Linked DNA regions of Macaca fascicularis. The protein of the gene in region 1 purifies or fractionates together with the protein of each later gene. This does not show direct contact. Links are inferred from orthologs where the notes say so. Each region holds a gene or a part of one and is shown in the gene's direction. Other genes may lie near its edges.

Region 1 (3,500 bases):
GTGGAAACTGACCGTTAGGAAGTTTCCTTGATTGTCCTCAAAGTCCACAGCTTGTGAATGGAGGAGCCAGGATGGGCGCTTGCTGGCTGTCCTATCCCTTCAGTTATGTCAGCTTCCCCCACAGCAGCCCACTGTCTGATTAGGTCCCCTCTTCACCATGGTGCCACCTTCATCTGCCTCTTCTTCTGCCTTCCAGCTGCCACATGCAGGAAGTACATGGCCAAGCTGAGGACCACGGTGTCTGCTCAGGCTCGCTTCCTCAGCACCTATGATGGGGCAGAGACGCTCTGCCTGGAGGACATATACACAGAGAATGGCCTGGAGGTCTGGGCAGACGTGGGCATGGCTGGACCCCCGCAGAAGAGCCCGGCCACCCTGGGCCTGGAGGAGCTCTTCAGCACCCGCAGCCACCTCAACGACGATGCAGACACCGTGTTGGTGGTCGGTGAGGCGGGCAGCGGCAAGAGCACGCTCCTGCAGCGGCTCCACTTGCTGTGGGCTGCAGGGCGAGACTTCCAGGAATTTCTCTTTGTCTTCCCATTCAGCTGCCGGCAGCTGCAGTGCGTGGCCAAACCACTCTCCGTGCGGACACTACTCTTTGAGCACTGCTGTTGGCCTGATGTTGATCAAGAGGACATCTTCCAGTTCCTCCTTGACCACCCTGACCGTGTCCTGTTAACCTTTGATGGCTTTGATGAGTTCAAGTTCAGGTTCACGGATCATGAGCGTCACTGCTCCCCGACCGACCCCACCTCTGTCCAGACCCTGCTCTTCAACCTTCTGCAGGGCAACCTGCTGAAGAATGCCCGAAAGGTGATGACCAGCCGTCCAGCCGCTGTGTCAGCATTCCTCAGGAAGTACATCCGCACCGAGTTCAACCTCAAGGGCTTCTCTGAACAGGGCATCGAGCTGTACTTGAGGAAGCGCCATCGTGAGCCTGGGGTGGCAGACCGCCTCATCCGCCTGCTCCAAGGGACCTCAGCCCTGCACGGTTTGTGCCACCTTCCTGTCTTCTCGTGGATGGTGTCCAAATGCCACCAGGAACTGTTGCTGCAGGAGGGGGTGTCCCCAAAGACCACTACAGATATGTACCTGCTGATCCTGCAGCATTTTCTGCTGCATGCCACCTCCCCAGACTCAGCCTCCCAGGGTCTGGGACCCAGTCTTCTTCGGGGCCGTCTCCCCACCCTTCTGCACCTGGGCAGACTAGCCCTGTGGGGCCTGGGCATGTGCTGCTACGTGTTCTCAGCCCAGCAGCTCCAGGCAGCACAGGTCAGCCCTGATGACATTTCTCTTGGCTTCCTGGTGCGTGCCAAAGGTGTCATGCCAGGGAGTACGGCGCCCCTGGAATTCCTGCACATCACTTTCCAGTGCTTCTTTGCTGCATTCTACCTGGCATTCAGTGCTGATGTGTCACCAGCTTTGCTCAGACACCTCTTCAATTGTGGCAGGCCCGGCAACTCACCGATGGCCAGGCTCCTGCCCACGCTGTGCATCCAGGGCTCAGAGGGAAAGGACGGCAGCGTGGCAGCTTTGCTGCAGAAGGCCGAGCCGCACAACCTTCAGATCACGGCAGCCTTCCTGGCGGGGCTGTTGTCCCGGGAGCACTGGGACCTGCTGGCCGAGTGCCAGGCATCTGAGAAGGCCCTGCTCCGGCGCCAGGCCTGTGCCCGCTGGTGTCTGGCCCGCAGCCTCCGCAAGCACTTCCACTCCATCCCGCCAGCTGCGCCGGGTGAGGCCAAGAGCATGCACGCCATGCCCGGGTTCATCTGGCTTATCCGGAGCCTATACGAGATGCAGGAGGAGCGGCTAGCACGGAAGGCTGCACGTGGCCTGAATGTCGGGCACCTCAAGTTGACATTTTGCAGTGTGGGCCCCGCGGAGTGTGCTGCCCTGGCCTTTGTGCTGCGGCACCTCAGGCAGCCCGTGGCCCTGCAGCTGGACTACAACTCTGTGGGTGACATTGGCGTGGAGCAGCTGCTGCCTTGCCTTGGTGTCTGCAAGGCTCTGTAGTGAGTGTTACTGGGCATTGCTATTCAGGCATGGGGAAGCATCATCAAGGCTAAGCGTGGGAGCACCGAGCTGGGATCTAGAAATCTGGGCCCAGCTTCACCTTTGCCACCCTTCTTTGCACCCCTGTCCAGATCCCTTCCCTTCTGGGTCTTAATTTCAATATGTGGTGATGACAGCCATACTTTATTGACTGGCCTATGTGCTGGGTCTGGTGCTACTCTTTCCGGAATGACCTCATCTAATCTCTACAACTACCCAGGGCTGTAGGCAGGAATGTTATTATCTCCAGTATCCTTGACTTGAGGCTCAGAGGAGTGAAGTAAATTGTCCAGGGTCACACAGGAAATGGCAGAGTTGAGGTTCACAAATCACATCTTTCTGATAACAGGTTTCCTGCCCCCCACCAGTCTCTGGATACACTTCAGAGGCTCCCTGAAAACCTTGAGGTCACATGCAGAAAGTTTTGTGTACTATGTGTCACCAAATCAGAGGTGACTAGTGCCCCATCAGAGACTTTAACATCCCAATCAGATGGGAATGTCAGGGCCCAAGAAATAGAAAGTGGCTGCAGGATTTCAACAGTGGCTATCTTCCATTTGCCTGGCCACTTTCAACAATGGAAGAGGAGCCACTCTTGGATTCCTGAGGTAGCACAGTATCCAAACAGGATTTCAGCACTACCTGTATTGCTTAAGAGCCCCAGCCAAAGATATGAGGTTTTGCCCTTTGGAGAATCGGTGCCCCTGAACTCAGTGGCCTCTTTCCACATCTTGGGGGCAGGCAAGGGCAGAGGGTGTGCCTAGGCCTGGGGATCAGCATGCCACAGATTCCCCAACATCCTTCCAGCTTGAAAGGGGACGCCCTGCTTCTATTTAGAACCCATGGGAAAGCAGAAGTTCTAGATTGAAGTTAAAATCGATTCCCAGCCTCCAGGGGCTTTAGGCTACACCTGGATGACCTTAATTGACCCTAAGCATGGGACAAACCTCTTCTTGAGAGTATTAGGATGGTATACATCTTCTCTGGGGCAAAGCAACAAGATTTATTTTTCACTATGGGCCGAACACATGGATATCCACTAGAAACCGTGCAGTGACTTTTGTTAACCCTGACATAAGGACCATGGTCATAAGGTTAAAGCATAATAACAACATAATACATAACATATATAGTGAATATATATATATGTGTTATACACAATGAATATAAATATGATTATACCCATCATGGTCTTGGAGGAAACAGATGATACACTTAAAATGGATGATTTGAGGAGAGTTTAATAAAGAGATTGTTTATAAGCCATGGGCAGGAGTTAGGAAGAGCGAGAGGGTTGCTGCAGGGGCCTGGGGTTAGTAACCGCTGGGGGAGGGTAGACTTGAAGGGGGAAGGGGAGGGAGACTAATTAGCTGGGGGGAAGGTATGGAGAGGGCTGCCTGAGCTTCTGCAACCTGGAAGAATACCGCTTGGCCCTAACTCCCCACCCT
Region 2 (3,500 bases), on another chromosome or scaffold:
ACATTCTATTCGTGACTTGTGATCATTTGAAACAAGGATGGAATAAGTAACTGGTGTCAGTCTGTAAGATTTGTATAACTACCACAGCAACCAAGATACAAATATTAATAAATCATAATTTCTCGTTTATTTTTGTTGAGAAATGAATATAAGTAGAAATCTAACATTTTCTTCCCACACCCCAGCAGATACTCTGGCACTCAAATTTGCAGCTCACTGGACATTCTACAGCCTCCTCCAGGGGACTGCTAACTCCTGGAAAAAAAATCATAAAATATAGAGTGAGCACTTCTCTCCCTTGTCTCCATGATCACAAGCCTCCATATTACATTATGCTGCAGAGAGGCCTGGTAACTGCTTTAAACTGCGTAATTTTCAGAAAAAGTTACCTTTTTTATAGATTAAAAGATTCAGTTTCTCTAGGGGACAGGACTCTGTGTGTACCAGAGAAAGTAATGTTCCACATTAGTCTTTTGTGTTTCATTTGGTTTCCTGTATTGCATTATTTAGGGTGGGATTTATCTTGACGTGCCCTCCCCCAACCTTACAAAATTCATTGAAAAAACTCAAGATGTATCATAAACAATCTAAAATATTTTGAACCACTCCCCCTGCCAGATTGATCACTGAACTATAAGCTGACGCATTTGCAGAAAAACTTCTCAAGATCAGTTTTGTACTTTCAGTAGAAGCAGTCTTTTTCATAGCATTTAGAAAAATGTGGCATGGTGCCTGGTGATTCATTGTTGATCTTCCCAAATTGCCTGGTCTTCCGAAGTATGTTCATTCTCCTGGGAAGCTACATTAACTTTTGTGTTCAGAAAACATTTATTTTAAGAAAGCTCAGATGGATGTTGAGTACTATGAAAAATAAAACGTTATGTTTTAAATGTGTCTATACTGTATAGTTTTAGAAACAAAAATGATTGTCCCCTTCCACAAAAACAAATCAAAAGGCTAATTTTATAAGCTGGAATGCAGATAAATTAATTATATGATTAAATGTATGATAAATTAGTGCTTAGTCAATAAATATGGTCATAATTTATAACTGATGCAGTGATTATAATAAAGTCTGATTTTATATTAATAAAATTAAAATAAAAATTTTGAATGAATGGCTTGGTATTTACTAGAAATAAATTGTGTGTAATTTTGTGTGTATTTGTGTGCGTTCAAATTACTTGATTAAGACATAGAATGGAGAGGTGGATGTGGGTGTAAGTATATGACTTTGGCTATGTATAGACACAAAATAACTGAGATCTGTGTCAGTTGAAGAAAGACCCAAAACCATGTAGTTGCATGACCAACATAAACTAAAAGGAAGTATTCGTGCTATAAAGTTATCATAACTTTCTCTAGAAAGTGAGGAAAGTAAGACACGTAAATGTTAAACCCTATCAAATTGACGCTATTTTATAAAAATGTGCATATGTTTTAACCTTAGTTTATACTGTATTTCCTCATGGAATATTTAACTTCTAAGTGTGAAACGTAGTGAAATTTGGACTAATTTTATTTTGTTTCTTTTCACATATATATGAAGAAAACTGAATATCCTGATGTTGCTTGGCCATTGAGATTTCGCATTCTGCATGAAATTGCCCTTGGTGTAAATTACCTGCACAATATGACTCCTCCTTTACTTCATCATGACTTGAAGACTCAGAATATCCTATTGGACAATGAATTTCATGTTAAGGTAATTACTTTTTTAAAAAGTTTATCTGTTTCCTTGTCCTTATAGTTTTAAAAATACTTTTTAGTTATTTCTTCGACCTAGACTGTTTCATATCTCTCCTTAGAGTTAGGGACCAATGAATAGTAATTTCCGTAGCCCTTAATTTCTATCTTCTATTCTCCTTCTTACTACTGCAGTTAGGAAGCTATTCCTAGACAGAGATAGAATTACGATATAAAATACAAAGCCATTATGTTTCTTCATTGAATTGTCAAGATCACCTTTTTTGTTTTATTTTTTATTTTAAAATTATTATATGTTTATAGGAAGATGCAAAGGTAATAAAGAGGTTTCATGTATCCGTCACCTGGTTTCCCACATTGTTATGTCAAACATAATTATAGTATAATTTTAAGACCAGGAATTTGACATTAGTACAATGCATGTACATAGTACCATTACTTTATCACGTGTATAAATTTGTGTAACCACAACAATCAAGGTACAGCACTTCTCATAACATCACCACAAAGATACCACTCATGCTACCTCACCCACTTCCTCTCTACCACAATCTGTACCTCTAACAACCACTAATCTGCTTTCCATCTCTTTAATTTTGTCATTTTGAAAATGCTATATAAGTGGAATCATATAGTATGTGATATTTTGAGATTGGATCTGTTCACATCACATAATGCTCTTGAGATCCATCTAAGTTGTGCTTGTAACAATAGTTGTTTTTTATTGATAAATAGTATTCCACAGTATAAATGTACCACAGTTAACCATTCAGGAATATTTTGGTTCTTTCCAGTTTGGGGTAATTATTTACAGAGCTCCTGTGAACAAAGCTATACAGGTTTATGAGTGAACATAAGTCTTCATTACTCTGTGATAAATGCCCCAAGAATACAAATGCTGGGTCATATGGTAAGGGTGTGTTTAGTTTTTTTTGTTTTTTTGTTTTTTTTGATACAGAGTCTCGCTCTGTCGCCCAGGCTGGAGTGCAGTGGCCGGATCTCAGTTCACTGCCAGCTCCGCCTTCCAGGTTTATGCCATTCTCCTGCCTCAGCCTCTCGAGTAGCTGGGACTACAGGCGCCCACCACCACGCCTGGCTAGTTTTTTGTATTTTTTTAGTAGAGACAGGGTTTCACAGTGTTAGCCCAGATCGTCTCAATCTCCTGACCTCGTGATCCACCCGTCTTGGCCTCCCAAAGTGCTGGGATTGCAGCCTTGAGCCACTGAGCCCAGTCGGTGTGTTTAGTTTTTAAAGAAAGTATCCAACTATTTTCCAGAGTGGCTGTACCATTTTACATTCCACCAGCAATGTGTGAGAGATCCAGCTATTCCGCATCCCTACCAGCATTTGTTATTATCATTGTTTTCTATTTAGCTGTTCTAATAGATGCATAGTGATATCTCATCTTGTATTAATTTGCATTTTCCTAACTGCTAATGATATTGAACACCTTTTTATATGCTAATTTGCCACCCATATGTGGCTTTCAGTGAAATGTCTCTTGATGTCTTAAACTCATTTTCTAAAGGGAGTCCTTGGTTTTCTTACTGTTGAGTTTTGAGAGTTCTGTATAATGTTACAGTGGTAGTTCATCAGATATGTAGTTTGCAAATATTTTCTCCCAGTTATAGTTTATCTTTTCATCGTTTTAACAGGGACTTTCACAAAGCAAAAATTTTAATTTTGATGAAGTTCATTTTTTTTTCTTTTATGGATCATGCTTTTGCTGTCATCTCCAAGCACTTTTCACCAAGTTCTACTTACTGAAGATTTTCTTTTTTGTTATCTTCTAT
Region 3 (3,500 bases), on another chromosome or scaffold:
CAAGGCCTCCCTCTCCTAGTAAACTCCTAATTCATTCTTTAGTATCCAGTTTTAGATATAATTTCCTCCAGGAGGCCTTCGTTTATGCATGCATGGGCACACATGCACACACACCCTTCCTGTGCTCTTCATAACACATTGTAATTACCTTTGTCATCATACCATTTATACTTCCCTGTTTACTTGTCTATGAACGATTGGGGGCTTGAGGTTTATGTATTTGTTAATTGTATCCCTAGTAGAACCTAGTTAAGTGTCCAGTAAGTATTTCTTGAATAAACTATTGTTTTCCAAACATGTTTTCAGTATAGTGTTCAACAGGATATTAAAAGGATGCCATGAAAAAGGAACCCCATAGTTAAACAGGGGAATGTGTTGTACATTTCTAAGAGGGAATATAGACTATACTGTCCTATATTGTACTGTACTGCCCTGTCATGGATGACAGTGGTTCTCAAATGCCGGTGTGCCCAACCCCAGAAATTTTAGGTTCTGTGAATGGAGCCCAGAAATCTGTTGTTTGAAAATGCCCCAGGTTATTCTCATGTGAGGCCGTATTTGGAAACTGCTGGTACATAATGATTATAAAGATGCTAAAATAAACAAATAGTTGTGGTTATAAAGATATAGTTAAAATATGTAATGCATTTGGAATAGTGCCTAGCACATACTATTTATGCAATATTACTGTTAACTGCTGCTGCTGTTGTCATTATTGTTATATGTGACCATGAAACACATTTTTTTTGTGGCGTATGTATTCACATTTCACAAAACTATTTTGGGAAAGGCTGAATTAAGCAAGTACTTCAGTGCCACCTATATGCTGATGACATCCAGATCTCTATCTCTAGCCCTGACTTCTCCTGACCTCAAGATTTGACTCTTCAGTTACCTACTGGGTATTTTTATATGAGTGTCCTGAAAACACCTAAAAAATATCTGAAGATCCCAAACCTGTACCTCCTTTTATATTTCTTATTGGCATCACCATATCCTTGTCAGCCAAGCTAGCAATCTTGAAATCAACTTTAGTTTGTCTTTCTTCTTCAGCCCTCATATCCAGTCAGTCACCCAGTCCTACTTGTCCCACTTCAGAGGTGTCCCTCAAATCCATCCCTCTATTTCTGGAATTAGTTGTGACCTTTCCATATGCTGCTCCTTTTACCTAACCCTTGTTTTTCTGCCTGGCAAATTACTGCCCATGCTTAAATGTCACTCCTCCGCTTCCCTCCTCCCCCGATCCAGCCACTGCCAACCTGTGGAGCCTTCTCCAACTAGCCTGAGCAGAAGAACTTGTTTTCTCATCTTGTTCCAGAGCACTTTGTACATAACTTTATTACAGCACTTATCACTTTGTACTTTGTGCTTAACCTCCATAGCCTCATCTTACATCCTCTCCCACTAGCCTGTGAGCTATTTAAGAGCAGATGCCATGTGTGAGTCATCCTCATATCTCCTGGCACTTGTTGGGTGCCTGGCACGTAGTAGGGGTTCAATAAATATTTTCAATGAATGTAAACAACTAAGAAAGTCTAAAACTAGCATAATTCTTTTCTCTTTTTGCAGAGATTAGTACTGAAGAGCAGCTAAGGCGCCTGCAAGAGGAGAAGCTTTGCAAAATCTGTATGGATAGAAATATTGCTATCGTTTTTGTTCCTTGTGGACATCTAGTCACTTGTAAACAATGTGCTGAAGCAGTTGACAAGTGTCCCATGTGCTACACAGTCATTACTTTCAAGCAAAAAATTTTTATGTCTTAATCTAACTCTGTAGTAGGGATGTTATGTTCTTCTTATTACCCTGATTGAATATGTGATGTGAACTGACTTTTAAGTAATCAGGATTGAATTCCATTAGCATTTGCTACCAAGTAGAAAAAAAATGTACATGGCAGTGTTTTAGTTGGCAATATAATCTTTGAATTTCTGGATTTTTCAGGGTATTAGCTGTATTATTTATCCAACTTTTTTTACTGTTATCTAATTGAAACCCTAGACTAAGAAGCATCATATTATAACTGAACACAATGTGTATTCATCATATACTGACTTAATTTCTAAGTGTAAGTGAATTAATCATCTGGATTTTTTATTCTTTTCAGATAGGCTTAACAAATGGAGCTTTCTGTATATAAATGTGGAGATTAATCTCCCCAATCACATAATTTGTTTTGTGTGAAAAAGGAATAATTGTTCCATGCTGGTGGAAAGATAGAGATTATTTTTAGAGGTTGGTTGTTGTGTGTTAGGATTCTGTCCATTTTCTTTTAAAATTATAAACACGTACTTGTGCGAATAATTTTTTAAAAGTGATTTGCCATTTTTGAAAGGGTATTTAATGATAGAATACTATCAAGCCAAGATGTACTGACATGGAAAGATGTGAAAGATATATTAAGTGTAAAATGCAAGTGGCAAAACACTATGTATAGTCTGAGGCAATCAAAGTATGTATGTTTCTTATATGTATAGAACAAAAGATTTGGAAAGATAGACACCAAACTGTTAAATGTGGTTTCTCTTTGGGGGGGTTGGGGAAGGGGCCTCAGAGGGGTTTTATAGGGGCCTTTCACTTTCTATTTTTTTCATTTTGTTCTGTTTGAATTTTTTATAAGTATGTATTACTTTTGTAATCAGAATTTTTAGAAAGTATTTTACTGATTTAAAGGCTTAGGCATGTTCAAACGCCTGCAAAAGTACTTATCACTCAGCTTTAGTTTTTCTAATCCAAGAAGGCAGGGCAGTTAACCTTTTTGGTGCCAATGTGAAATGTAAATGGTTTTATGTTTTTCCTGCTTTGTGGATGAAAAATATTTCTGAGTGGTAGGTTTTTGACAGGTAGACCATGTCTTCTTATCTTGTTTCAAAATAAGTATTTCTGATTTTGTAAAATGAAATATAAAATATGTCTCAGATCTTCCAATTAATTAGTAAGGATTCATCCTTAATCCTTGCTAGTTTAAGCCTGCCTAAGTCACTTTACTAAAAGATCTTTGTTAACTCAGTATTTTAAACATCTGTCAGCTTATGTAGGTAAAAGTAGAAGTATGTTTGTACACTGCTTGTAGTTATAGTGACAGCTTTCCATGTTGAGATTCTCATATCATCTTGTATCTTAAAGTTTCATGTGAGTTTTTACCGTTAGGATGATTAAGATGTATATAGGATGAAATGTTAAATCCTCTGCCTACATTTGTGTTCTTGACTAGTAATAGTAGTAGATACTTCTGAAATCAATGTTCTCTCAACATCCTTACAACCTCTTGGAAATTATAAAAATATTGGCAAGAAAAGAATAGTTGTTTAAATATTTTTTGAAAAACACTTGCATAAGAATCAATAGGACATAAACTAGAAGTTTAAAAATGCTTCATAGGACGTCCAGGGTTTACATTATAAGATTCTCACAACAAACCTATTGTAGAGGTGAGTAAGGCATGTTACTACATAGAGAAAAGTTTGAGAGTAAAACTGTAAAAAATTATATTTTTGTTGTAC

Evidence for each region.
Region 2: the proteins of NOD2 (region 1) and RIPK2 purify together in Homo sapiens (affinity purification with western blotting; 12 studies listed by BioGRID and IntAct, with this or other methods). This does not show direct contact. The link is inferred for Macaca fascicularis from reciprocal best matches to the Homo sapiens genes NOD2 and RIPK2.
Region 3: the proteins of NOD2 (region 1) and XIAP purify together in Homo sapiens (affinity purification with western blotting; 3 studies listed by BioGRID and IntAct, with this or other methods). This does not show direct contact. The link is inferred for Macaca fascicularis from reciprocal best matches to the Homo sapiens genes NOD2 and XIAP.

The regions. Positions count from the first base shown.
Region 1 is NC_088394.1:46,670,039-46,673,538, forward strand, and holds part of NOD2 (nucleotide-binding oligomerization domain-containing protein 2), read left to right. Parts: intron 1-196; coding exon 197-2,012; intron 2,013-3,500. UniProt on the Homo sapiens protein: Pattern recognition receptor (PRR) that detects bacterial peptidoglycan fragments and other danger signals and plays an important role in gastrointestinal immunity.
Region 2 is NC_088382.1:99,465,362-99,468,861, forward strand, and holds part of RIPK2 (receptor-interacting serine/threonine-protein kinase 2), read left to right. Parts: intron 1-104; exon of another isoform or gene 105-255; intron 256-1,549; coding exon 1,550-1,705; intron 1,706-3,500.
Region 3 is NC_088395.1:130,137,487-130,140,986, forward strand, and holds the end of XIAP (E3 ubiquitin-protein ligase XIAP), read left to right. Parts: intron 1-1,569; coding exon 1,570-1,763; 3' UTR 1,764-3,295; downstream 3,296-3,500.